Anolis sagrei: one gene and its partners. The protein of the gene in region 2 binds, or shares a complex with, the protein of the main gene of each other region. Links are inferred from orthologs where the notes say so. Each region holds a gene or a part of one and is shown on either strand. Other genes may lie near its edges.

Evidence for each region.
Region 1: the proteins of RGS7 (region 2) and GNB5 are in contact, whole or in part, in a cryo-EM structure (PDB 7EWP), measured with the Homo sapiens proteins. The link is inferred for Anolis sagrei from reciprocal best matches to the Homo sapiens genes RGS7 and GNB5. Residues at the interface, in NP_001351815.1 of Homo sapiens: Pro19, Leu22, Val23, Lys26, Val30, Ile72, Val76, Glu77, His80, Leu81, Leu84, His88, Val207, Asp213, Ile214, Lys215, Lys216, Leu258, Gln261, Ile262, Trp265, Gln266, Gln268, Leu269, Arg271, His272, Arg273, Leu274, Lys275, Met276; in NP_057278.2 of Homo sapiens: Leu57, Glu60, Ala61, Glu62, Leu64, Lys65, Leu68, Glu71, Lys74, Leu75, His76, Asp77, Val78, Glu79, Leu80, Val83, Leu90, Phe93, Arg98, Arg99, Leu109, Lys117, Arg118, Ser134, Phe135, Trp149, Met151, Leu167, Tyr197, Ser206.
Region 3: the proteins of RGS7 (region 2) and GPR158 are in contact, whole or in part, in a cryo-EM structure (PDB 7SHF), measured with the Homo sapiens proteins. The link is inferred for Anolis sagrei from reciprocal best matches to the Homo sapiens genes RGS7 and GPR158. Residues at the interface, in NP_001351815.1 of Homo sapiens: Gln35, Ile43, Ser55, Arg109, Phe110, Thr112, Pro113, Tyr114, Phe115, Lys134, Thr136, Lys140, Ala141, Arg142, Leu143, Leu145, Ala146, Asp147, Ala150, Leu153, Gln157, Trp164, Phe168, Met169, Gln170, Glu172, Ala173, Gln174, Lys176, Val177; in NP_065803.2 of Homo sapiens: Leu507, Lys508, Phe510, Leu511, Arg513, Thr514, Tyr595, Tyr598, Ala599, Thr602, Val603, Pro604, Ile714, Arg715, Leu718, Lys719, Tyr722, Leu725, Glu726, Tyr728, Lys729, Arg730, Met733, Ile734, Thr735, Asn736, Asn737.

What each region holds. Positions count from the first base shown.
Region 1 is NC_090029.1:20,397,122-20,405,144, reverse strand, and holds the start of GNB5 (guanine nucleotide-binding protein subunit beta-5), read right to left. Parts: upstream 3,092-8,023; 5' UTR 3,049-3,091; coding exon 2,923-3,048; intron 1-2,922. UniProt on the Homo sapiens protein: Enhances GTPase-activating protein (GAP) activity of regulator of G protein signaling (RGS) proteins, such as RGS7 and RGS9, hence involved in the termination of the signaling initiated by the G protein coupled receptors (GPCRs) by accelerating the GTP hydrolysis on the G-alpha subunits, thereby promoting their inactivation.
Region 2 is NC_090021.1:56,333,201-56,340,273, reverse strand, and holds the start of RGS7 (regulator of G-protein signaling 7), read right to left. Parts: upstream 3,065-7,073; 5' UTR 2,949-3,064; intron 1-2,948. UniProt on the Homo sapiens protein: GTPase activator component of the RGS7-GNB5 complex that regulates G protein-coupled receptor signaling cascades.
Region 3 is NC_090026.1:109,420,966-109,429,008, forward strand, and holds the start of GPR158 (metabotropic glycine receptor), read left to right. Parts: upstream 1-4,969; 5' UTR 4,970-5,487; coding exon 5,488-6,305; intron 6,306-8,043. UniProt on the Homo sapiens protein: Metabotropic receptor for glycine that controls synapse formation and function in the brain. Acts as an atypical G-protein coupled receptor that recruits and regulates the RGS7-GNB5 complex instead of activating G proteins.

The DNA of each region.
Region 1 (8,023 bases), on a different chromosome or scaffold from region 2:
GCCCCTGGTATCCACTGGGGTTTGCTTCCAGACCCCCATAGATACAAACATCTATAGAAATTCAAGTCCTATTCTTATTGTTATTATTATTATTACTATTATGTATTAAATACAACACCACCTGAGCTCTGCGAGTGCAGCATTTTTCCATAAAAATTTGGGGTTTCTTTCACATTAAAGTGTCCCCTGGTATCCACTGGGGTTTGCTTCAAGCCCCCCCCCCCCCCCCAGATACCAAAATCTATAGATATTCAAGTCCTATTGTTATTATTATTTATTAAATACAAAACCGGCTGAGCTCTGCAAGTGCAGCATTTTTGGGGTTTCTTTTACATTACAGTGGTCCCTAGTATCCACTGGGGTTTGCTTCCAGCCCCCCCCCCCCCACCAGATACCAAAATCTATAGATATCAAAGTCCTATTATTATTATTATTATTATTATTATTATTATTTAATAAATACAACTCCACCTGAGCTCTGCGAGTGCAGCATTTTTGGGGGTTTCTTTTACATTACAGTGCCCCTGGTATCCACTGGGGTTTGCTTCCAGACCCCCATAGATACCAAAATCTATAGAAATTCAAGTCCTATTATTATTAATAATAGGACTTGAATTATTATTATTATTATTTAATTATTATTGTTAATTAATAATAATAACAACAACAATAATAATAAATTAAATACAACACCGCCTGAGCTCTGCAAGTGCAGCATTTTTCCATGCAAACTTGGGGTTTCTTTTACGTTACAGTGGCCCCTGGTATCCACTGGGGTTTGCTTCCAACCCCCCGTAGATACCCGAATCTATAGATATTCAAGTACTATTATTCTTATTATTATTTATTAAACACAACACCGCCTGAGCTCTCCAAGTGCAGCATTTTTCCATGTAAACTTGGGGTTTCTTTTACATTACAGTGGCCCCTGGTATGCACTGGGGTTTGCTACCAGTCCCTCGTAGATACCAAAATCTATAGATACTCAAGTCCTATTATTATTATTATTATTATTAAAAAACAACACCGCCTGAGCTCTGCAAGTGCAGCATTTTTCCATGCAAATTTGGGGTTTCTTTCACATTACAGTGGCCCCTGGTATCCACTGGGGTTTGCTTCCAGCACCCCATAGATACCCAAGTCTATAGATATTCATGTCCTATTATTATTTATTAAATACAACACCTCCTGAGCTCTGCGAGTGCAGCATTTTTGGGGCTTCTTTTACATTACAATGGCCCCTGGTATCCACTGGGGTTTGCTACCAGTCCACCGTAGATACCAAAATCTATAGAAATTCAAGTCCTATTATTATTAATAATAGGACTTGAATTATTATTATTATTATTATTATTATTAATTATTATTATTAATAATAATAATACATTAAATACAACAGCATCTGAGCTCTGCGAGTGCAGCATTTTTGGGGTTTCTTTTACATTACAGTGGCCCCTGGTATCCACTGGGGTTTGCTACCAGTCCCCCGTAGATACCAAAATCTATAGATATTCAAGTCCTATTCTTCTTCTTATTATTATTATTATTACTATTATGTATTAAATACAACACCACCTGAGCTCTGCGAGTGCAGCATTTTTCCATAAAAATTTGGGGTTTCTTTCACATTAAAGTGTCCCCTGGTATCCACTGGGGTTTGCTTCAAGCCCCCCCCCCCCCCAGATACCAAAATCTATAGATATTCAAGTCCTATTGTTATTATTATTTATTAAATACAAAACCGGCTGAGCTCTGCAAGTGCAGCATTTTGGGGGTTTCTTTTACATTACAGTGGCCCCTGGTATCCACTGGGGGTTGCTTCCAGCCCCCCCGTAGATACCAAAATCTATAGATGTTCAAGTCCCATTATTATTATTATTATTATTTATTAAATACAACACTGCCTGAGCTCTGCAAGTGCAGCATTTTTGGGGTTTCTTTTACATTACAGTGGCCGCTGGTATGCACTGGGGTTTGCTACCAGTCCCCCGTAGATACCAAAATCTATAGATATTCAAGTCTTGTTGTTATTATTATTTATTAAATACATCGCCAGAGCTCTGCAAGTGCAGCATTTTTCCATGCAAACTTGGGTTTTTTTCACATTACAATGGCCCCTGGTATCCACTGGGGTTTGCTTCCAACCCCCCCCCCCCTGTAGGGTTTGCTTCCAACCCCCCCCCCCCCGTAGATACCCGAATCTATAGATATTACTATAGATAATAAATTATTATTTATTAAATACAACAGCGCCTGAGCTCTGCGAGTGCAGCATTTTTCCGTGCAAATTTGGGATTTCTTTTACATTACAGTGGCCCCTGGTATCCACTGGGGTTTGCTTCCAATTATTATTATTATTATTATTATTATTATATTGAGTATTTGTGCCAAGTTTGGTCCAGATCTACCATTGCGTGAGTCCACAGTGCTCTCTGGATATAGGTGAACTACAACTCCCAAACTCAATGCCCATCAAACCCTTCCAGTGTTTTCCATTGGTTATGGGAGCCAAGTTTGGTTCAAATCCATCGCTGGTGGAGTTCAGAATGCTCTTTGATTATAAGTGAACTATAAATCCCAGCAACTTCAACTCCCAAATTACTAAATCAATCCTCTCTCAACCCCACTAGCATTCACATTTGGGTGTATTGGGTATTTGTGCCCAGTTTGGTCCAGTGAATGAAAATGCATCCTGCATATCAGATATTTACATTACAATTCATAACAGTAGTAAAATGACTGTTATGAAGTAGCAACGAAAACAATATTATGGTTGGGGGTCACCACAACATGAGGGACTGTATTAAGGGGTCGTGGCATTAGGAAGGTTGAGAACCACTGGTTTAAATATTTAAAGCATTCAAAGGAGATTGCAAGATATATTCCACCCTTCCCGCAATGAAAATAGATGCCGTCCCGTACCATTCCCACACATAGTGAGCAGTAGCTGAGTTTCTCATTTTTGCGGTAAATCTCTCGGAGGGCCCGGTTTTGGGCACATTTGTCGCATGGACCAAACACATTGGCCAAAAACGTCTGGTCACACATCTTTGCGAAGTGCTGGAGCTGGAAGAGAGAGAGGGAGAGAGAGAAAAGAGAGAATGAAAGCAGGTGGATGCTAGACGTGAGGCACAAAGCCTTTGCATTTTAAACAGCACTGGCACTAACAATTTAAAAGTCCAGCAAATTGTTATTTGCTTCGTTGTGTTTTAACTGTCAAGGATGTGAAGGACTACTTGCAGTTCTGCAAAAATAACATAACCAGCTTGAGGTTAAAATTACACCCCAGGTGAAAAATGTCTTGACCTAGCGCTGCCTTTCAAGTGTCTTAAAGAATCTGCAACTCCTGCAGGCAGAGTAAACGCCGCTCTTTGAATGCAGGAAAATTCTGAATTCCTGCCACTTGTGTTCAAGATGCCTAAAGACAACCGCCAATTATGGCACAATTGATTATTACAACTTTGTTATTTGTTGCCTTCACGTAGTTCCAGCTCACGGCTTCCCTAAGGTAACCATTTCAGAGTTTTCTGGCAAGCTTTGTTCAGAGGAAGTTTGCCATCTCTGAGGATAAAAGAAGCCAAAAGGCCCAAGAGCAGAGAGTGGGTTTCAGTGGCCAAGAAGGGATTCAAACCGTGGTCTCCCACAGACTTAGAACTAACGCAATGTGAACTATGAGGATTATCCAGAAAGTTTAAATAAATCCAGAAAGGATTTTTTTAAAATATAAAGAATGAATGTATTTTAATAACACTTACATAGATTGTAGTCTAGGTATTACATTATTTTCCTACATAATCACCATTCAGTTCAATATATTTTGTCTTCCGTGGGATGAGTTTTTGATGCCTGTGTCACAGAAGTTTCCCTCCATCTTTTTCAGCCAGTTTGTCACTTCGATTTTCACCTCCTCGGCATCGGAAAAGTGTTTTCCACCACGGTGTTCCTTCAATTTAGTGAACAGACTCACTGGGTGTGAGATCAGGGTGGGTTAAAACATCCCAACCAAACAAAGTCAGCAACTTTTGTGTTGTATGAGCGGTGTGCGGACAGGCATTGTCATAACTCCCACCGTCAGCATCCCACGGTGTTTGTTTTGGACAGCTCTGTGAATTTTTGTCATGGTCTTACAATATATTCCATACCCATTTTGTCCCATGCTGTCTTGACATTACGTCCTCTCCATAAACTGAAATGATTTTGCGATGCATCATAGCTGCGTTCATGCCCTTAGCTTTTAGGTATCACATTACAGCGCAAACTTCGCACATTACAGTGCAAACTTCGGAACGAGGATGCTCATCTCTAACCTTTACCACAAAGTTAGTCGATGAGCTACTGACGACTGGCACTGCTCGTTCTCTTCCGCTGTCTTCCTGCTACACAGCAGTGATACCAATTTCCCCCAAGAAAATTCCCCATGAGGATTAACGTGCCTTGTAACCTTACTTTCCGAATAACATTCGAACTTTGAAGGCCATGTTTAAATGCACTTGGAGGGAAATGGAATGAGGAAGCTCATCTCTAACCTTTACCACAAAGTTAGTCGATGAGCTACTGACGACTGGCACTGCTCGTTCTCTTCCACTGACTTCCTGCTATACCAATTTCCCCCAAGAAAATTCCCCATGGAGTTAACGTGCCTTGTAACCTTACTTTCTGGATAACACTCGTACTTTAAAGGCAATGTTTCAATGCAATGTAATCCTGGGAATTACAGTTTGGTGAGGCATAGCACTCTTTGGCAGAGAAGGATAAAGGCCTTGTAAAATGTCAACACAGATTGTTCTGTAGCATTTTTAAAACATTGCCTTTTTTACAAATTGGGTAATTGGCAGTGGGTTTGGGGGGGTTGTAGGTTTTTCGGGCAGTATGGCTATGTTCTAGAAGCATTCTCCCCTGACATTTCGCCTGCATCTGTGGCAGGCATCCTCAGAAGATCTGTTGTGAGATCTCAGTGGTTTTTTCCTTGCATGTAAATACAGGTATACTTCACTTTGGGTGCTTAAAATATATTAATGGATGTAGAATTATTTGAGTCTAAATGTACATTCTTTGCACTAGGTTTTATTTGGCAGATCTGGCTTCTAAGCAAAAAGGAAAAACAAATTAAATCCCACAAGTCTGTCCATCCCTGAGGCATATTGGCAATCCCTGATCTTTGATCCAAGGAGCGTAAGTCATATCATAAGACTCCCAACGAGGAATAAGAATATGATACTTCATTGTTGTTGTTCATTCGTTCAGTCGTTTCTGACTCTTTGTGACCTCATGGACCATCCCAGGCCAGAGCTCCCTGTCGGCCGTCACCATCCCCAGCTCCTTCAAGGTCAATCCAGTCACTTCAAGGATGCCATCCATCCATCTTGCCCTTGGTCACCCCCTCTTTCTTTTTCCTTCTATTTTCCCCAGCGTCATTGTCTTCTCTAAGTTTTCCTTTCTTCTCATGATGTGGCCGAAGTACTTCATCTTGGCCTCTACTTTCCTTCCCTCCAGTGAGCAGTTGGGTTTTATTTCCTGAAGTATGGACTGGTTGGATCTTCTTGCGGTCCAAGGCACTCTCAGAACTTTCCTCCAGCACCACAGTTCAAAAGCATCTCTCTTCCTTCGCTCAGTCTTCCCTATGGTCCAGCTCTCACATCCGTAGGTGACTATGGGAAATACCATTGCTTTGACTATGCGGATCTTTGTTGCCAGTGTGATGTCTCTACTCTTCACTATTTTGTCGACATTGGTCCTTGCTCTCCTCCCGAAAAGTAAGCATCTCCTGATTTCCTGGCTGCACTCTGTGTCTGCACTCATCTTTGCACCTAGAAATATAAAGTCTGTTGCTGCCTCCACGTTTTCTCCCTCTATTTCCCAGTTGTCAATCGTTCTTGTTGCCATAATCTTGTTTTTTTATGTTTAGCTTCAACCCAGCGTTTGCATTTTCTTCTTTCATCTTGATTAGAAGGCTCCTCAGCTCCTCCTCGCTTTCGGTCATCAAAGTGGTGTCATCTGCATATCTAAGGTTGTTAATGTTTCTTTCAGCAATTTTCACCCCAGCCTTGCCTTCGTCAAGCTCTGCACATCCTTGCATGATGTGTTCTGCATACAAGTTGAATAGGTTGGGTGAGAGGATACAACCCTGCCGTGCGCCTTTCCCAATCTTGAACCAATCTGTTGTTCCGTGGTCAGTTCTTACTGTTGCTACTTGGTCCTTATACAGATCCCTCAGGAGAAAGACAAGGTGATTTGGTATGCCCATACCACCAAGAACATGCCACAATTTATGATGATCCACACAGTCAAAGGCTTTAGAATAGTCAATGAAACAGAAATAGATGTTTTTCTGAAACTCCCTGCCTTTCTCCATTCTCCAGCATCCAGATATTGTCAATCTGGTCTCTGGTTCCTCTGTCTTTCCCAGCTCGTCCATCTGGCAACTCTCTCTCCATGTCTTGCTGGAGTCTTCCTTGCAGGATCTTGAGCATTCCCTTCCTGGCATGAGAAAGAAGAGCCACTATGCGGAAGTTTGAGCAGTCTTTAGCATTTCCCTTTGTTGATATGGGGATAGAAGTTGATTTATCTGGGGAGGCCCTTCTTTTGCCCCTGCCAGCTTCACAAGCTCGCCCGGTAAGCACTAGGGAGAGAGCTTTCTCCTCTGTGGCCCCCCGACTTTGGAACTCACTACCTGGAGAAATTAGGGAAGCCCCTACCCTACAAACCTTTAAAAAGGACCTTAAAACCTGGCTCTCCCGCTGCGCCTTTGGAGTATGTATACAATCCCAGACTACTGCTTAGCCTCAACCTTCTGTCATTGGCATATATGTTGTCCCCCGCTCTGTGGGAAAGCTTGATTCCACAACCCCCACTATAATGAGCCCTCCTCCGCAAATAATCTGTCTCTTTTTTATCTCGCCTGAGTTTTAAAATAATAATAATAATAAAACTTTATTTGTACCCTGCTACCATCTCCCCAAGGGACTCGGTGCAGCTTACATGAGGCCAAGCCTGCAGTACATCAATAAAACGACAGCAGTAACAAAATAATCAATACAAAACAGTAAAATAAATCTCAAAACAAAAATAAACAATAAACAATAACAATGAACAATAACATACAAGCATTTAAAAGTTTTAATTAGTCTCTCTTTTAATCATTACATGTAGCCCATCCATTGTTATTGTGATTGCGTCTATTGTAATTTTATATTGTTATATATTTACATGTTTATTTTATTATGATGTTGTTGTTTACTGTTTGCATTTTTGGTTGTGTTTTGGTTTTATTTTATTGTAATTTGTTGTTCGGGCTTGGCCTCATGTAAGCCGCTCTGAGTCCCCACTGGGGAGATGGTGGTGGGGTATAAATACAGTATTGTTATTATTATTATTATTATTATTATTATTATTATTATTATTATTATATTTTTCCAGTCTGAAGGCCATTCTTGTGTTTTCCATATTTGCTGGCCTATGGCATGCATCACCTTGACAGCATCATCTTTCAGGATTTTAAACAGATACTTCACGACTCTACACAAAATTCAAGAAAGCAGTCACTTTGTTACCTCAATCAAAGAAGACACAGCTCTGAGTAACTATCTATAGTAAACATATTTTTAAGTATTTATGCTAAATAATAAACAATATAACAATCATCTCAATATTTCTCTATGGCTTCTAGATATGTTTGATATTAATAGTATTTTAAATGCTCCTTACCTTCTTTTATCAGAGCAAAGACTTCAAGATGCCGGGACGGCAAGGAACTGACCAGTTTCAACTGGACACATAAGAGGACGATCCTAATGCTGTGATAATCGGCTTAGACAGTCAGAAGGCACACGCCTGGGTTTTGTATTGCAACACCTTTCCTGCTGCTGGTTTATGGTTCCACAGAAGTGAATATTTTTTTCTCAAGTCATGGAAGAAACTGTCATGGGTGAAAGAAAAATAATAATAATCCAGGAAGACCAGTCCATAACGTTGACAGAAATGTGCCCAGTTTGAAGTTTGGGGATTGGCAGAAAAAAAATTAAAT
Region 2 (7,073 bases):
AAAAGAACCTGGAAAATTGGAAACATTTGAAAATCTCATTATTAGGAAGAACATCATGCATTAAAATGAATGTCCTGCCAAGGATGCTATTTCTGTTCCAAAACATACCTATACTAAGGAACAAGAAAACTGTACTAAACTGGAATAAAGATATTAGAAAATTTATCTGGCTTAATAAAAAACCAAGGATAAGTTATAAAAATCTGACAGATGAGAAAGGAAGAGGAGGATTGACACTACCAGACCTAGGGTTATACGCCGAGGCATGTACCCTAGCCTGGGCCACAGAATGGGTAAGACTGAAGAAAGAAAAAATACTAAATCTGGAAGGATGCGACCTCCGCAGAGGGTGGCATGCTTACATCGGATATGAGAAAACAAAAATAGAAAAAAAATTTAGGAACCATTTTGTAAGAGCAGCGATCATAAAAACCTGGGACAAATACAAGAAGAGAATGTATAACAAAATTCCAACATGGATCTCCCCTTTAGAATCAAGCCAAAGAAGGGAACTAGGATGGATTAAATGGCCAAACTACAAAGAATTACTAAAAGAAGAAAACAAAGTGATCAATCTGAGACCCCTAGAAGACATAAAAGCAAGTTACCCAAATATGACCTGGTTACAGTACAGGCAAATACAGGAGTTTTTTGGTAAAGACAAAAAGATAGGATTTGAGAAAAGAGGGAATATCTGGGACAAAATCTGGGAAACAGAAGGAAAAAAAATCTCTAAAATATACAAACAATTACTCCAATGGAGTACAGAAGAAGAAAGGGTGAAGGATTGCATGGTGAAATGGGCCAAAAATGTAGGTAGAACGATTGGATTAGAAGAATGGGAAACGATATGGAAAAAAAAACTAAAATACTTAAAAGCATATGATTTGAAAGAAAATTGGTGGAAAATCTTTTTTAGATGGTATCTGACACCCGCCAAATTAAATAAATATTACAAAAATTGTAATTCAAGATGCTGGAAATGCGGAACAGTGGAAGGAACGCTGCACCACATGTGGTGGAAGTGTAAGAAAATAAAAGATTATTGGAAAGAAATTCAAACACAATTACAGAAAATACTGAAAGTCAAGATTCCCCTAAAAGCTGAAATATTCCTATTAGGCATCACAAAAATCAAATTGGACAAAAATACAGATAAACTGTTATTCCTGGCAACAACAGCTGCCAGGATTTGTCTGGCAAGAGTATGGAGGAAAAAGGAAGTTCCGAAGATTGAGGATTGGAAAAAGAAAATGATAGAAGTCAGAAATATGGATTGTTTAAGTTACATAATGCAAAGAAGTAAAGGAATCGAGGAGATAAGAACAGATTGGACAAGTTTTAAAGAATACTTAAAGTTACACATATAATCAATTACCAATATAGAAGGTCAGGCAAAAAGGCCTGGATTCAGAAGAGCAACTATACAAGAAGATCTCCAGTCAACTAGAATTGAGAAGGAAAAGAGAGGAAGAGAAAAAAATGAAAGAAAGAAGAGGAAGAGGCCCACCACAGATGAATCCTGGAAGTCATGTTTGATGGATGAAAGAACTTATTCTTGATTCTTTTCTTTTAAACTCTTTTTTTCTCTCACATTTTCTAAATCTTACCCACACTTTTCCTTCCCACCCTACTCCGTGGCATTTAGATACCCAGGATAGTTTTTCCCCGTCCCCGACCTACCCTGGAAGGTCTACCTCCCTTCCAACCGTCCTCATTCTCTTTTTCTTCCTTCTCTCCTCCTCTAACCCCCGCTATAACTCTACACATCTATATCTGATATACCACACTATCTAAGCTACTATATTTTAAGGATTGTATTTTAGAAAATATCAATAAAGATTATTATAAAAAAAAATAAACTGAATTACTCTGTCACAAAATGGTGCAGGTGTAAAAAGTGTGCCATCGACATGAAATGTTTGGAAAGCTCTGTTCTAGCATGTTCAGTTGAAAAGCAAAGTCAATGTGATGCAGTTGTCTGTGGCTGTTGAATTAGGACTCAATGGAAGCAGAGTTCAAATCCTGTCACATTCTCTCAGCCTCAGACAAAGGTAATAGCATGCTTCTGAACAAGTATCACCAAGGAAGCCCTAGGGCAGGGCTATCAGAAATCAGAGTTTACTTGAAAGGATACAACAAGAATATTCATTGGGGAATTCTGTGTTTGTGTGTGTGCCTTCAAGTCACCTGTCAATTAAGAGTGACCCTGTGAATTTCAAAAGGTTTTCTGAGGCAGGAAATACTCTGAAGTATCCTGTTCATTTCTTTTTCTAACCCTGAAAAAGAAAAAGACTTTTTGAAAATAGAATAAATCACCAATAAAAACAGCAGTAAAGAATTTATAATTTACTAGCTGTCTCCTGCCACGCGTTGCTATGGCCCAGTCTGTGTATATGTGTTTTGTGTGTGTATATATTTGTGTATATGTGTATATATGTGGTTTTGCGCATATGTTGTAATGTTTTTTGTTTTTTTGCTTTAAAGTCTCTTCTGCTGTGTTTTTCAGTGTTTTTATGAGTGATGGTCACTCGTTGGCTTGATAGGTGTCTTGTGTCCAAATTTTGTGTCAATTCGCCCAGTGGTTTTTGAGTTATGTTAATCCCACAAACTAACATTACATTTTTATTTATATAGAAGAAGAAAAATGCCCTGGTCCAAGGCTATGGAGCTCTAGGAATTGTAGTTTTACAAGGCCTTGTGCCTCCTCTGCCAAAGAGTGCTGGTCTCTCGCCAAACTACCAATCCCAGAATCCCATAATGTTGAGCCATGGCTGTTATCAAACTGCATTAATTTTACTTTGCATATCAGCGCTCAAACCATGCTATGAATTAGAAACAGTCTTTAAGAGTTTGCTCCAGGCACAGTCAGCCCATTGTATGCTAATCAAGGTGGTCAGTTGAAAAGATTCACACCTAGCCCAACTTACAAAAGCCTTTTGTCTCACCCTGGTCAGTCCACAGATGTATAAACCCCTTTTTTCCCAGCTCCAGCAGACCTCTGAGGATGCCTGCCATAGATGCAGGCGAAACGTCAGGAGAAATGCCTCTAGAACATGGCCATATAGCCCGAAAAAACCCACAAGAACTGAGAAACAGTCTTGTACATGAAAGATAGAGGGCGCTCGTTCCAACCTGTATAAAATCCTGTTTCGTTGTCCTGCGCATGCTCTGCCCGTCAATCTGAAGCCTGTTCCCCCATTTTGCCAGTTCCATTGCTTCAAGGCAGCCTCACTGTGCTGGAACCTGGCAGCGCGAAGAAGAGGGCAAATGGTTGTGGGCTTCGTTGGCGCTAAAGCGCACGCGCGGAACCCACTGCGTCAGTGTGTGGCCAGCGCTGATTGGTTCTTTACCTCGGGGACGTCTCTTTCGGGTTCGGAAGCCTCATTGCGGAACCGCAGGTATTCTTCCTAGGAAGCCCCCCTCCTTTTGCTGGAGTCAGTACTTTGCAGTTCGCAATGGGCTCCGGCTTTCCAGTCAGAATGTGCCCTTCCACATGCAGTTCCTATCATTCAAGATGGGAAGGGAAGATGGGTGTTGCAGTCCAATCCCGTGTAAAAGATCTCGCGTCCCACTTAAAGGGCCAGCAGTTCAGATAGCAGTTTCAGGAGAAGAAGCAATTGGTGTTAGATGAGAAAGGAAATGAGGCTGTGTCCGCACATGGCGTGCCGTCTCCTTTTCCTTCCTTCTGAAACCCAGATCAGCCCCGTCTTGAGTGCATCCACACTGCAGAGTTAATGCAGTTCGACACCACTTTAACTGCTTTTACTCAGTGTTACGGAATTATGGGAGTTCTGTGCCTTGATTCGCCGCCGCTGCTTAACAGGACTGGTGCCTCACCAAACTAAAACTCCCATCATTCTAGACCTGAGCATTGAGCCATGTCAGTTGAAGTGATATCAAACTGCATTAATTTTGTAGTGGAGAATCTGTGTTTCCCAAACCTAATCCTCCCGAAGTTTTGGACTTCAGCTGGCCACATGACCTTGGAGGTGTCTCTTCAGCCTAGAAATGGAGATGAGCATCAACCCCCATAGTTGGACACAACTAGATTTAATGCCAGGGGAAAACCTTTACCATATATATATATATACTAGCTGTGCCCTGCCACGCGTTGCTGTGGCCTATAGTAAAACTTATCAAAGTTGAGGTAGATATCTGGACTATTATGAAAGAGAGGTACCTACCTATTCCTTCCCCCTTTTCCTCCCCCTTTCTCTCCTTTCTTCCTTCTCTACCTCTTTCTTTCTTTCCTTCTTTCACTACTTGGTTTCATCCTTCTCTCTTTCCTTCATTCCCTCCCCCTTTCTTCCTTTGCCTTTCTTCCCTCCCTGTTTGCTTCCTTCTTTCACTTTTTATTTCCTTTTATTTTACCACCATCATAACAATAACAATAATGCAGTGCATTGCCTCTGGGACCTGACACCTCTCCCATTCCCCCTAAAAGGGTCACAGAGGAATAATAATAGCATCATAATAATCATAGAAATAACAACCTTTACCCGCCACGTGTTGCTGTGGCCAATCTTCCCTCTTTCTCTCCTTCTTTCCCTCCCTCCTTCCTTCCTTCCTTCCTTCCTTCCCATCTTTCCTTCTCCTCTTCTTTCTCTATCTCTTTCCTTCCTTCCCCTTTTTCTTTCTCTTCTGCTGTCTCTCTTTTCTTTCCTTCCATCTTTCCTTTTCTTTCCTTTTCTTCTTCCTGTAACTTTCCTTCCTTCCCCCTTTTTCTTTACTTCCCTTTCTCTTTCTTCCTTCTTTCCTTCCTTCCTGTCTTTCCTAGATTTTGACAGGGCGGGAAGGGGCGGGGTGGGGTTTGGAGGTGGCGTGAAGTAAAAGGAGGTAAGATTGGGGCGGGGGAGTGATGGAGCGTGGGGTTGCGTGTGTGTGTGCGGCGGCGGGGGGAGTGGGGTTGCGTGTGTGTGTGCGGCGGCGGGGGGAGTGGGGTTGCGTGTGTGTGCAGCGGTGGGGGGAGTGATGGAGCGTGGGGTTGTGTGTGTGTGTGTGGTGGCGGGGGGAGTGGGGTTGCGTGTGTGTATGCGGCGGCGGGGGGAGTGATGGAGCGTGGGGTTGCGTGTGTGCGTGCGGCAGGGTGTGTGTGTGTGCGGGAAGCGGCGCGGCGGGGCTTGGAGTGGGCATGGTTTCCGCAGAGGGAACGTTGGCCGGAAGGCCATGTGCGCGCGCCAGGGAACTTGCGGCTGGGCGCCAATGCGCATGCTCAGTTGTTTTGCCATTTTGTGAGTGTGTTGTTGTGTTGTTTTTCATTTTGAGTAGATATGTTTGTACCTTGTGGGTTGTGTTATGGGCATGGCAATTTTGGTTAAGTTTCGTTGGGTTTTTTTGAGTTTTGTTGTTTTGCCGTTTTGTGAGTGTGTTGTTGTGTTGTTTTTCATTTTGAGTAGATATGTTTGTACCTTGTAGGTTGTGTTATGGGCACGGGGATTTTGGTTAAGTTTCGTTGGGTTTTTTTGAGTTTTGTTGTTTTGCCGTTTTGTGAGTGTGTTGTTGTGTTGTTTTTCATTTTGAGTAGATATGTTTGTACCTTGTGGGTTGTGTTATGGGCATGGCAATTTTGGTTAAGTTTCGTTGGGTTTTTTTGAGTTTTGTTGTTTTGCCGTTTTGTGAGTGTGTTGTTGTGTTGTTTTTCATTTTGAGTAGATATGTTTGTACCTTGTGGGTTGTGTTATGGGCATGGCAATTTTGGTTAAGTTTCGTTGGTTTTTTTTGAGTTTTGTTGTTTTGCCGTTTTGTGAGTGTGTTGTTGTGTTGTTTTTCATTTTGAGTAGATATGTTTGTACCTTGTGGGTTGTCTTATGGGCATGGCAATTTTGGTTAAGTTTCGTTGGGTTTTTTTGAGTTTTGTTGTTTTGCCGTTTTGTGAGTGTGTTGTTGTGTTGTTTTTCATTTTGAGTAGATATGTTTGTACCTTGTGGGTTGTGTTATGGGCATGGCAATTTTGGTTAAGTTTCGTTGGGTTTTTTTGAGTTTTGTTGTTTTGCCGTTTTGTGAGTGTGTTGTTGTGTTGTTTTTCATTTTGAGTAGATATGTTTGTACCTTGTGGGTTGTGTTATGGGTATGGGAATTTTGGTTAAGTTTCGTTGGGGGTTTTTTGAGTTTTGTTTCCTCGTTGGATGCCCCTAACAAATATATATATATATATATATATATATATATACATACACACACAGAGAGAGAGAGAGATACTATTTTTATTTTTTTTACTCATTTTATTATTTAATAATAGTACTAATAATAATAACAGCCCTCCATGAAGTCATGCCGGCAACATGACCTTGGAGGTGTCTATGGACAACGCTGGTTCTTTGGCTTAGAAATGGAGATGAGCACCAACCCCCAGAGTCGGACACAACTAGACTTAGTGTTAGGGGAAAATCTTTACCATACACACAGACATACTATTTTTATTTTTTACTCATTTTATTATTTAATAATAGTACTGATAATAATAACAGCGCTCCATGAAGTCATGCCGGCCACATGACCTTGGAGGTGTCTATGGACAATGCCGGCTCTTTGGCTTAGAAATGGAGATGAGCCCCACTCCCCAGAGTCGGACACAAGTAGGCTTAATGTCAGGGGAAAACCTTTACCTTTTAATACACACACACGCACATACCATTTTATTATTTACTCATTCTATTATTTATTAATCGTACTAATAAATGGTACTAATAAACAGTAATAACGGCGTTCCACACAGTCATACTGTCCACATGACCTTGGAGGTGTTTGTGGACAATGCCAGCTCTTCGGTTTAGACATGGAGATGAGCACCAACTCCTGGATACAACTAGACTTAATGTCAGGAAAAAAACCTTTAACCACACACACACAGACACATATACACACACATACATACACATACTGTTTTTATTATTTACTAATTTTATTATTTAACAATAGTACTACTAATAATAATAACGGCATTCCATGCAGTCATGCCAGCCAAATGACTTTGGAGGTGTCTATGGACAACACTGGCTCTTTGGCTTACAAATGGAGATGACCACCAACCCTCAGAGTCAGACACAACTGGACATAATATCAGGGGGGAA
Region 3 (8,043 bases), on a different chromosome or scaffold from region 2:
GAATCCTCTATGCTGATAAGCCAGGGCAACAAAATTCACAGTTAAAGTGTTTGAATGCATTCGCCAATAGCTGTTTCAATACCAAAGGTTGCAAACCTTTCTGAATTTCTTTAGGAGCAATTTATTGGAATCTGCAATAGAGGGGTGAGTTGAGCTAAGCAAAAATGCGCAGGGGCACCTCTTCTCTTTTTTCTTTCCTACCTTCCCTCTTCCTTTTCTTTATCACTTTCAGCCTCTTTCTGTTTGGTTAGATGCTGCAGGTCGCTTCTGGTGCGAGAGAATCAGATATTGCCCAGTGAACACCTGGATGTATTACAATCTTGCTGGAAGGCTTCTATCATGTCTCCCAGGAATGCCTCAGCAAGCGAGAGTCCAAAAGTGGCAGGCTAAAGCCCAGAACCTCAATCCATGGCTGATACTGGATGAGAGACTCCCCCCTGGGCACACAGAAGACAGATTGCACTCTGGCACCACAAGGTGCAGAACCAATCTTCAGAAATCGGGCCACAAAGTGGAGTCCACAGCATGCGATTGTGGAGAAGAGCAAACCACAGACCACTTACTACAATACAGCCTGAGCCCTGCCACATGCACAATGGAGGATTTTCTTACGGCGACACCAGAGGCACTCCAAGTGGCCAGTTTCCGTTCAAAGGACATTTAGTATAATGCCAAGTTTATAACTTTGCTTGTGTGTTTTAAATACATGATAATTATACCTTCAGTTTGCTTCTGACACGATAAATAAATAAATAAATAAATAAGCCACTTTCTTTCTTTTTCTGCCCAGTACAAGATTGCTGTAGAATGGCAAGATTGCTCCCATCAAGAAACAGACTTAATCACTAATAGAGAGGGCTTTTGAAATTGGCCAAGAAATGTATGAGATTTTTAGATCACATCAGCCATCCCAGTCCAAGTAGCATTATTAACACAATAGCACTGTAACACCACTGAAGAAAAGGATAGAGGTGTTTCTGTCCAGATATTGCTGAATTGTGGAGTTTGTTCCCAAAAGGTACCAAATTAAAAAATAACAATAATGAAAAATGAGTTGTGGGTGCAATTTTCCAAGCATTGTACAGAAGCGAATCGATACATTTGTAGCATGTATAGATCAAAACTATCAAAATATATCAGTTCCCTTCTGCACAATGCTTGGGAAATCGCATTTTATAGCAAAAGAAGGCATATCCTCAGCACATTTTCTTCAGTTCCTGTAAAATTGGTTCAGATGGATTTGGTACCTTTTGAAAACAAGCTCTACAATTCTAGCTAGCCAAAGGTGAAGTGTGATATGTTTTTTCCCATGTCAGGAGCGACTTGAGAAAATGCAAGTCTCTTCTGGTGTGAGAGAATTGGCCATCTGCAGGGATGTTGCCCACCTGGATATTTTTGATGTTTTACCATCCTTATGGGAGGCTTCTCTCATGTCCCAGCATGGGGAGCTGTAGCTGACAGAAGGAGCTCATCTGCACTCTCCCTAGATTCGAACCTCCAATCTGTTGGTCTTCAGTCCTGTCAGTACAAGGGTTTAACCCATTGCGCCACCGGGGGCTCCAAGCATGATGCATGCAAATGGCAAATACGAAATATGTACTAGTCCAGGGGCCCAGAACAGGGCCCAGCAAGAGACTGAATGCTCTGAAACACTAGGCTGGGGATGATGAGCCCACCCCTGAAGTAATGTAGTAAAACTAGAACTATCAAGAATCCTACGTGTCTGAGCCTTCTCAGAAATCGAAAAGGGAGGAAGAATTGTTCAACAAAGGATACTAAATGTCCCAGTACCAAGAAATGTTAAGGCAGTGATTGCCCTTCAGCAATCCTGGGAATAACAAAGGCTGAAATCTATCTTCTGCAAACATATTTGGAAGTGATCTACCTTGAGTACATAGAATCAAAAAGTTGGAAGAGACCTCGTGGGCCACCCAGTCCAACCCCCTGCCAAGAAGCAGGTAAATTGCATTTAAAGCACCCCCAACATCCTCTGTTTAAAAGCCTCCAAAGAAGGAGCCTCCATCACACTCTGGGGCAGAGAGTTCCACTGCTGAACAACTCTCACAGTCAGGAAGTTATTCCCAATGTTCAGGAGGATGCTTCCATGTACATTTTGTGCTTGTAAGAGCCTCCCTATTTAAGAATGTTTACATGATAATGAGTAGGAAGAATATTTTGCCTCCCTTTGGCCTGCTAATGATGCATCTCCGTCTACGAACCCACGCGTTCACTTTGGTCATCTGGAGAGGCCCTGCTCATGATCCCGCCTGCGTCGCAAGCACGCTTGGTGGGGACTCGAGACAGGGCCTTTTCTGTAGTGGCCCCCTGACTCTGGAACGCCCTCCCAAAAGATCTCAGACAGGCCCCTACATTGGCAGTCTTCAGAAAGAACTTGAAGACCTGGCTATTCCGATGTGCCTTCTCAGATTAGGAATCTCCAATACCAAGTCCTAGAAGCACTTTAGTAGAATTAAGATTGCTACATTCTGCACAATGCATTTACTTATAATCCTACATACCTCTGCCACATCCGCACTTTTAACCTTGTACCCATTACTCCGGCCCGGCCCAGTTTTATAGTGTCTTGATGTATTGTTTATTGTTTGTTGTTCATACTGCTTAACTGTTTTTAATTTGCTTTAGGTATTGTATTGTTGTATTGTGTTGGTCTTGGCCTATGTAAGCCGCATCAAGTCCTTCGGGAGATGCTAGCAAGGTACAAATAAAGTAATAAATAATAATAATAATAATAATAATAATAATAATAATAATAATAATAACTCTTCTGCTTAAAAATTGTTGAGGTAGCTCTAATGATTAATTCCTCCTATTCTGGTGCCAGTGCACAGATAGTATTAAGGCTGTGCTGCAGCATGTATTCAATCCCCATTGTCAACCAGGGGCTTAAGGTATGTGACTGTATAGCATCAAAGCGCACATTGGCTGCAATGTACAACATTTTTTTATAACACAGTATATAGAAATGTTGAGCTTTTTTAAGAATCATGACTGCTGAATGCTGAATTTAAGGGTGTGTGTGTGTGTGTGTGTGTACAAATTGAGCTCCCGGTGGTGCAGCGAGTTAAAGCACTGGGCTGCTGAAGTTGCTGCGTGAGCTCATGCTGTTAGTCCCAGCTTCTGCCAACCTAGCAGTTTGAAAATATGCAAATATGAGTAGATCAATAGGTATTGCTTCTGCAGGAAGGTATCAGCAGTCCATGGGGCCATGCCGACCACATGACCTTGGAGGGGTCTACAGACAATGCTGGCTCTTTGGCTTAGAAATGGAGATGAGCACCACCACCCCAGAGTCCAACAGGACTAGACTTAATGTCAAGAGGAAACTTTTACCTTTACCTATGTACAAATTAGACATGGATAGGATATCAGGCACGATACAGGTTCTTTCCTGAATCCATCCAATGCTTGGAATCTTCTACTCTCCTGCCTGGTTGCATCCAAATGTAAGGAAGGCAATAAAAAGTCGAAATATTTCTCGTGGTACTGAGCACAACGTTGAATGCTATTGCGTTCCTCTCTTCCTCACCTCTGAGCTTTGTTTTGATTGAAGGGAGTCTGCCTGCTTCAGCCAGCAGGTGTCGCTATCCCCTTGTTTCTTCCCATTATATCTATTCATACTTTGTTAATTAATTCGCACAATAAAACCAGTTTTTTATTTAAAAAGGAAAATAAAATAAACTCCTACTCTTTCCCGGGACACTGTTAGTAGAGATAGTATTTATTCAGTGCTGGAAGAAATACCTAGGCAGGTATATCTGGAGGTGGGGGGAGAAGGAGGAGGATGTGGCCATCGTCCTGGGTTCAACCCTGCAGTTCTAAAAGGAGAAACGGGGATTGCGAGGGGAGAAGACTCCTTGCTTGGGTCTCTAGGCTCTTCCACACACCCATATGACCCAGAATATCCGGACAGAAAATCCTACAATATCTGCTTTGAACTGGGGGCCCTTCCACACACCCATATAACCCAAAATATCCGGACAGAAAATCCCACAATATCTTCTTTGAACTGGGGGCCCTTCCACACAGGCCATATGACCCAGAATATCCAGGCAGAAAATCCCACAATATCTGCTTTGAACTGGGGGCCCTTCCACACACCCATATAACCCAGAATATCCGGACAGAAAATCCCACAATATCTGCTTTGAAGGGGGCCCTTCCACACACCCATATGACCCAGAATATCCAGAACGAAAATCCCACAATATCTGCTTTGAACTGGGGGCCCTTCCATACAACCATATAACCCAGAATATCCAGGCAGAAAATCCCACAATATCTGCTTTGAACTGGGGGCCCTTCCATACAACCATATAACCCAGAATATCCAGACAGAAAATCCCACAATATCTGCTTTGAACCGGGGGCCCTTCCACACACCCATATAACCCAGAATATCCGGACAGAAAATCCCACAATATCTGCTTTGAACTGGGGGTCCTTCCATACAACCATATAACCCAGAATATCCAGGCAGAAAATCCCACAATATCTGCTTGAACTGGGGGTCCTTCCATACACCCATATAATCCAGAATGTCTAGGCAGAAAATCTCATAATATCTGCTTGAACTGGGGGCCCTTCCATACACCCATATAACCCAGAATATTCAGGTAGAAAATCTGGGTTATCTGAGTCCACCGTGCCATATATTCCAGTTCAAACCAGATTGTGGGATTTTATTCAGCTGTGTGGAAGGTGTGAGGCAGCAGAGTCTTCAGGTGAGGCAGACAGGGCCAGTTCTCCCCCACCTGGGTGCCTTCCCTCCCTCCTGGAAGCCTGCGAGGCGCTGTCCTCCTCCTGCTGCTCTTTCAGCACTTGGACAGCTCCCTCCAGGGCTGCTCCCTGATTGACAGGGCAGGCTTCCAGCCGGCGCTCGAGGCGCCCAGAGCGCGCCAATGGGCGGGAGGCTCGGGGAGAAAGGGGCGGGGCGGCCGCCAGATCGGGGCTGGCAGAGCAGCTTGGCCAAACGCCGGCGACAGTCGGGAAGGGAAGGCAGGGAAGGTGCCTCCTTTGGCGGGGGACCCGAGGGAAGCGTCTCCTAGCGAAGCCCTCGCTCCGCCTTGCCTCCCCTCCCTCTGCCCACTTTTCCCAGAGAAGAGAACTCCTCTGGGGAGGGTTTGCACCCGGGATTCCGCGGCTCGGGGAGGTTGGCAATGGAGGAGGAAGAGGAGCAGCGGCGGCAGCAGCAGCAGAAGGCAGGCGAGGACTAAAAGAGAAGAGCGGATGGGGGAGAAAGAGCCCTGTTGGCAGAGGAGAAGCGGGCAGAAGAGCATCGCCCTCTCGCCCGCGGCAGGGATGGCCCCGGCTGCGTAACGGAAGCCTTCACACATCTATTTGCGATTGTGCGGGCTCGCTACAGGTGACTCCGCTCCTTGCTCCGGATCTAGGTCTCCCTCACGCCATGGGTCTCCTTTTGTAAGGGGGGGAAGGAAGGAAGGGGCTCTGCTTCGCCCGGCGGAGGACATGGGTCGGCGGCCGCCCTTCTTCTCCTTCCCCTTCCTGGCCGCCCTCCTCTTCCTGCTCTGCGTGGCCCCTCTGGTTGGGGGCGGCGTGGCGAAGGGTCCCAGCCGGGCCACGGCTCCTTGGAGGCGATCCGCAGCCATGGAGGAGGAGGAGGAGAAGGAGAAGGAGGAGGGCGCCCCTGCCTTGGCCCAGCGCCTCTCCCGGGAGCTGCCCCCCGCCGTGGCCACTTTCCTCCGCTACGGCGACTCCCGGGAGCTGAAGCGGGCCAACTGCTCGGGGCGCTTCGAGCTGGGCCCTTGGGCCGGGAAGCCCCGCTCGCTGGCCTCCCACCCGCCGCTCCAGGCCGCCCTGGACGCCCTCCTCCACGCCGCCAACTTCCTCAGCACCCTCCTGCAGAGCAACCAGAGCCGCGAGCAGAACTTGCCCGACGATCTGGACTGGTACCGGGTCCTGGTCCGGACCCTCCTGGAAGGCAACCCGGGCATCTTCCGGGCGGCGCTGACGCTCAGCCCGGAGCACCCGCAGCAGGTCCTGCTCCAGGCCATCCGACAAGACAGCCGCGTCTTGCTCCAGGACCTCTCCGCCGCAGCCACCCACCGGGACACCGAGTGGATCCACGCGTGGAGGCGCAAAGGGAGGCCCCACCCGCCCCGCAAGGGCCCCGTGGCCGAGGGAGCCCGCAAGAAGGGAGACAAGGGACACGTCCAGTGGTCTCCGCCCTTCCTGGACTGCGAGGACGGCGCCTACAAGCCCGCCTGGCTCCTCAGCCTCTCCGCCGCTTTCTATGGCTTGCAGCCCAACCTCCTGCCAGAATTCAGGTAGGAACACCCTGCTTCACGTTGCCCTGCATTTCTAGGAATTCTGTCAGAAGCAGACTTTTTATTTGTGTCAAGGCACCAGTGTTCAGCAAGTGAAAAAGCAAACAACATAGCTGTGTGTCTCTGTGTGTCTCTCTACCAGGCATGAGCCAACTTGGGCCCTCCAGGTGTTTTAGACTTCAGCTCTCTCCATTCCTAACAGACTCAGGTCCCTTCCTCCCCCCCCCCCCCCCGCTGAGCTGTTGAACTTGAATCTGGAGAACAGGATAAGCTCCTTCCATTAGCCCCAGCTTCTGCCAAACTAGCAGTTAGGAAACATGCAAATGTGAGTAGATCAATAGGTATTGCCCCAGCGGAAAGGTAACGCTCCATGCAGTCATGACCCTGCAAGTGTCTACGGACAACACCAGATTTCAACTTAGAAATGAAGATGAGCATCAACCCCTAGAGTCAGACAGGACTAGATTTAATTTCAGGGGATTCAGGTTCCTACTTGTCAAAATTCAGGTAGGAACACCTGGCTTCACGTTTCCCTGGATTCCTAACACTTCTGTCAGAAGCATACTTTTTTGTGGTTCAAGGCACCAGTGTTCAGCAAGTGAAAAAGCAAACAATACAGCTGTGTGTATGTGTGTGTCTCTACCAGACATGGACAAACTTGGGCCTTCCAGGTGTTTTGGACTTCAACTCCCACCATTCCTAAGAGCTTCAGACTCCTTCCTTTTCCCCCACTGAGCTGCTGAACTTGCTGTTTGAAAGGTTGGCAGTTCAAATTCAGGAATTGGGGTGAGCTCCCTCTGTTAGCCCCAACTTCTGTCAACCTAGCAGTACAAAACCATGCAAATGTGAGTAGATCAATACGTACTGCCCCAGCGGGAAGGTAACAGCCCTCCATGCAGTCATGCCAGCTACATGACCTTGGAGGTGTCTACGAACAACACCAGCTCTTTGACTTAGAAATGGAGATGAGCATCAATCCCCAGAGTTGGACATGACTAGACTTAATGTCAGGGGAAAACTTTTACCTTTATATGTGTGTGTCTCTACCGGGCATGGACAAACTTCAAGTCTCCAGGTGTTTTTGACTTCAATTCCCACAATTCCTAACAGCCTCAGGCCCGTTCCTTTCCCCCCTTAAGATAGCACTGTGGGCTCAAACAATAATGTATCTGGATCAAACTTGGCACGAATACTCAATATACCCAAATGTGAACACTGGTGGAGTTTAGGAAAAATAGACTGGTGGAATTTAGGGAAAATAGATCTTGACATTTGGGAGTTGTAGTTGCTGGGATTGATAGTTCACCTACAATCAAAGAGCATTCTGAACCCAATCAACAATAGAATTGGGTCAAACTTCCCACACAGAACCCCCATGACCAACAGACGATACCTCTGACCCCCCCCCCCGCAGCTCCCCCAGGGGTCCTGACCTCCAGGTTGAGAAACACTGACCAACAGTATATGACTTGCCTAAGAGCGATCTATAGATCTGTCTGTCTGTCTGTCCATCCATCTACATTGACACATCTACACTTTTTAGAATGCAGCCAATCTTCCTTAGCTCAATCTTGGCACATGCTTCCTTGATCCTATGCGTCTACTCAAAAATAACTCTCACTGGCATTGTTTGGTCCTAATTCCCAGTTCTCAGGTACAGAGATGCAGCCTGATGCTGTTCATAAGGGAAGTCTCACTGAGGTTTGTTCACCGGATCCTGTGAAATAGGAATGCTGTT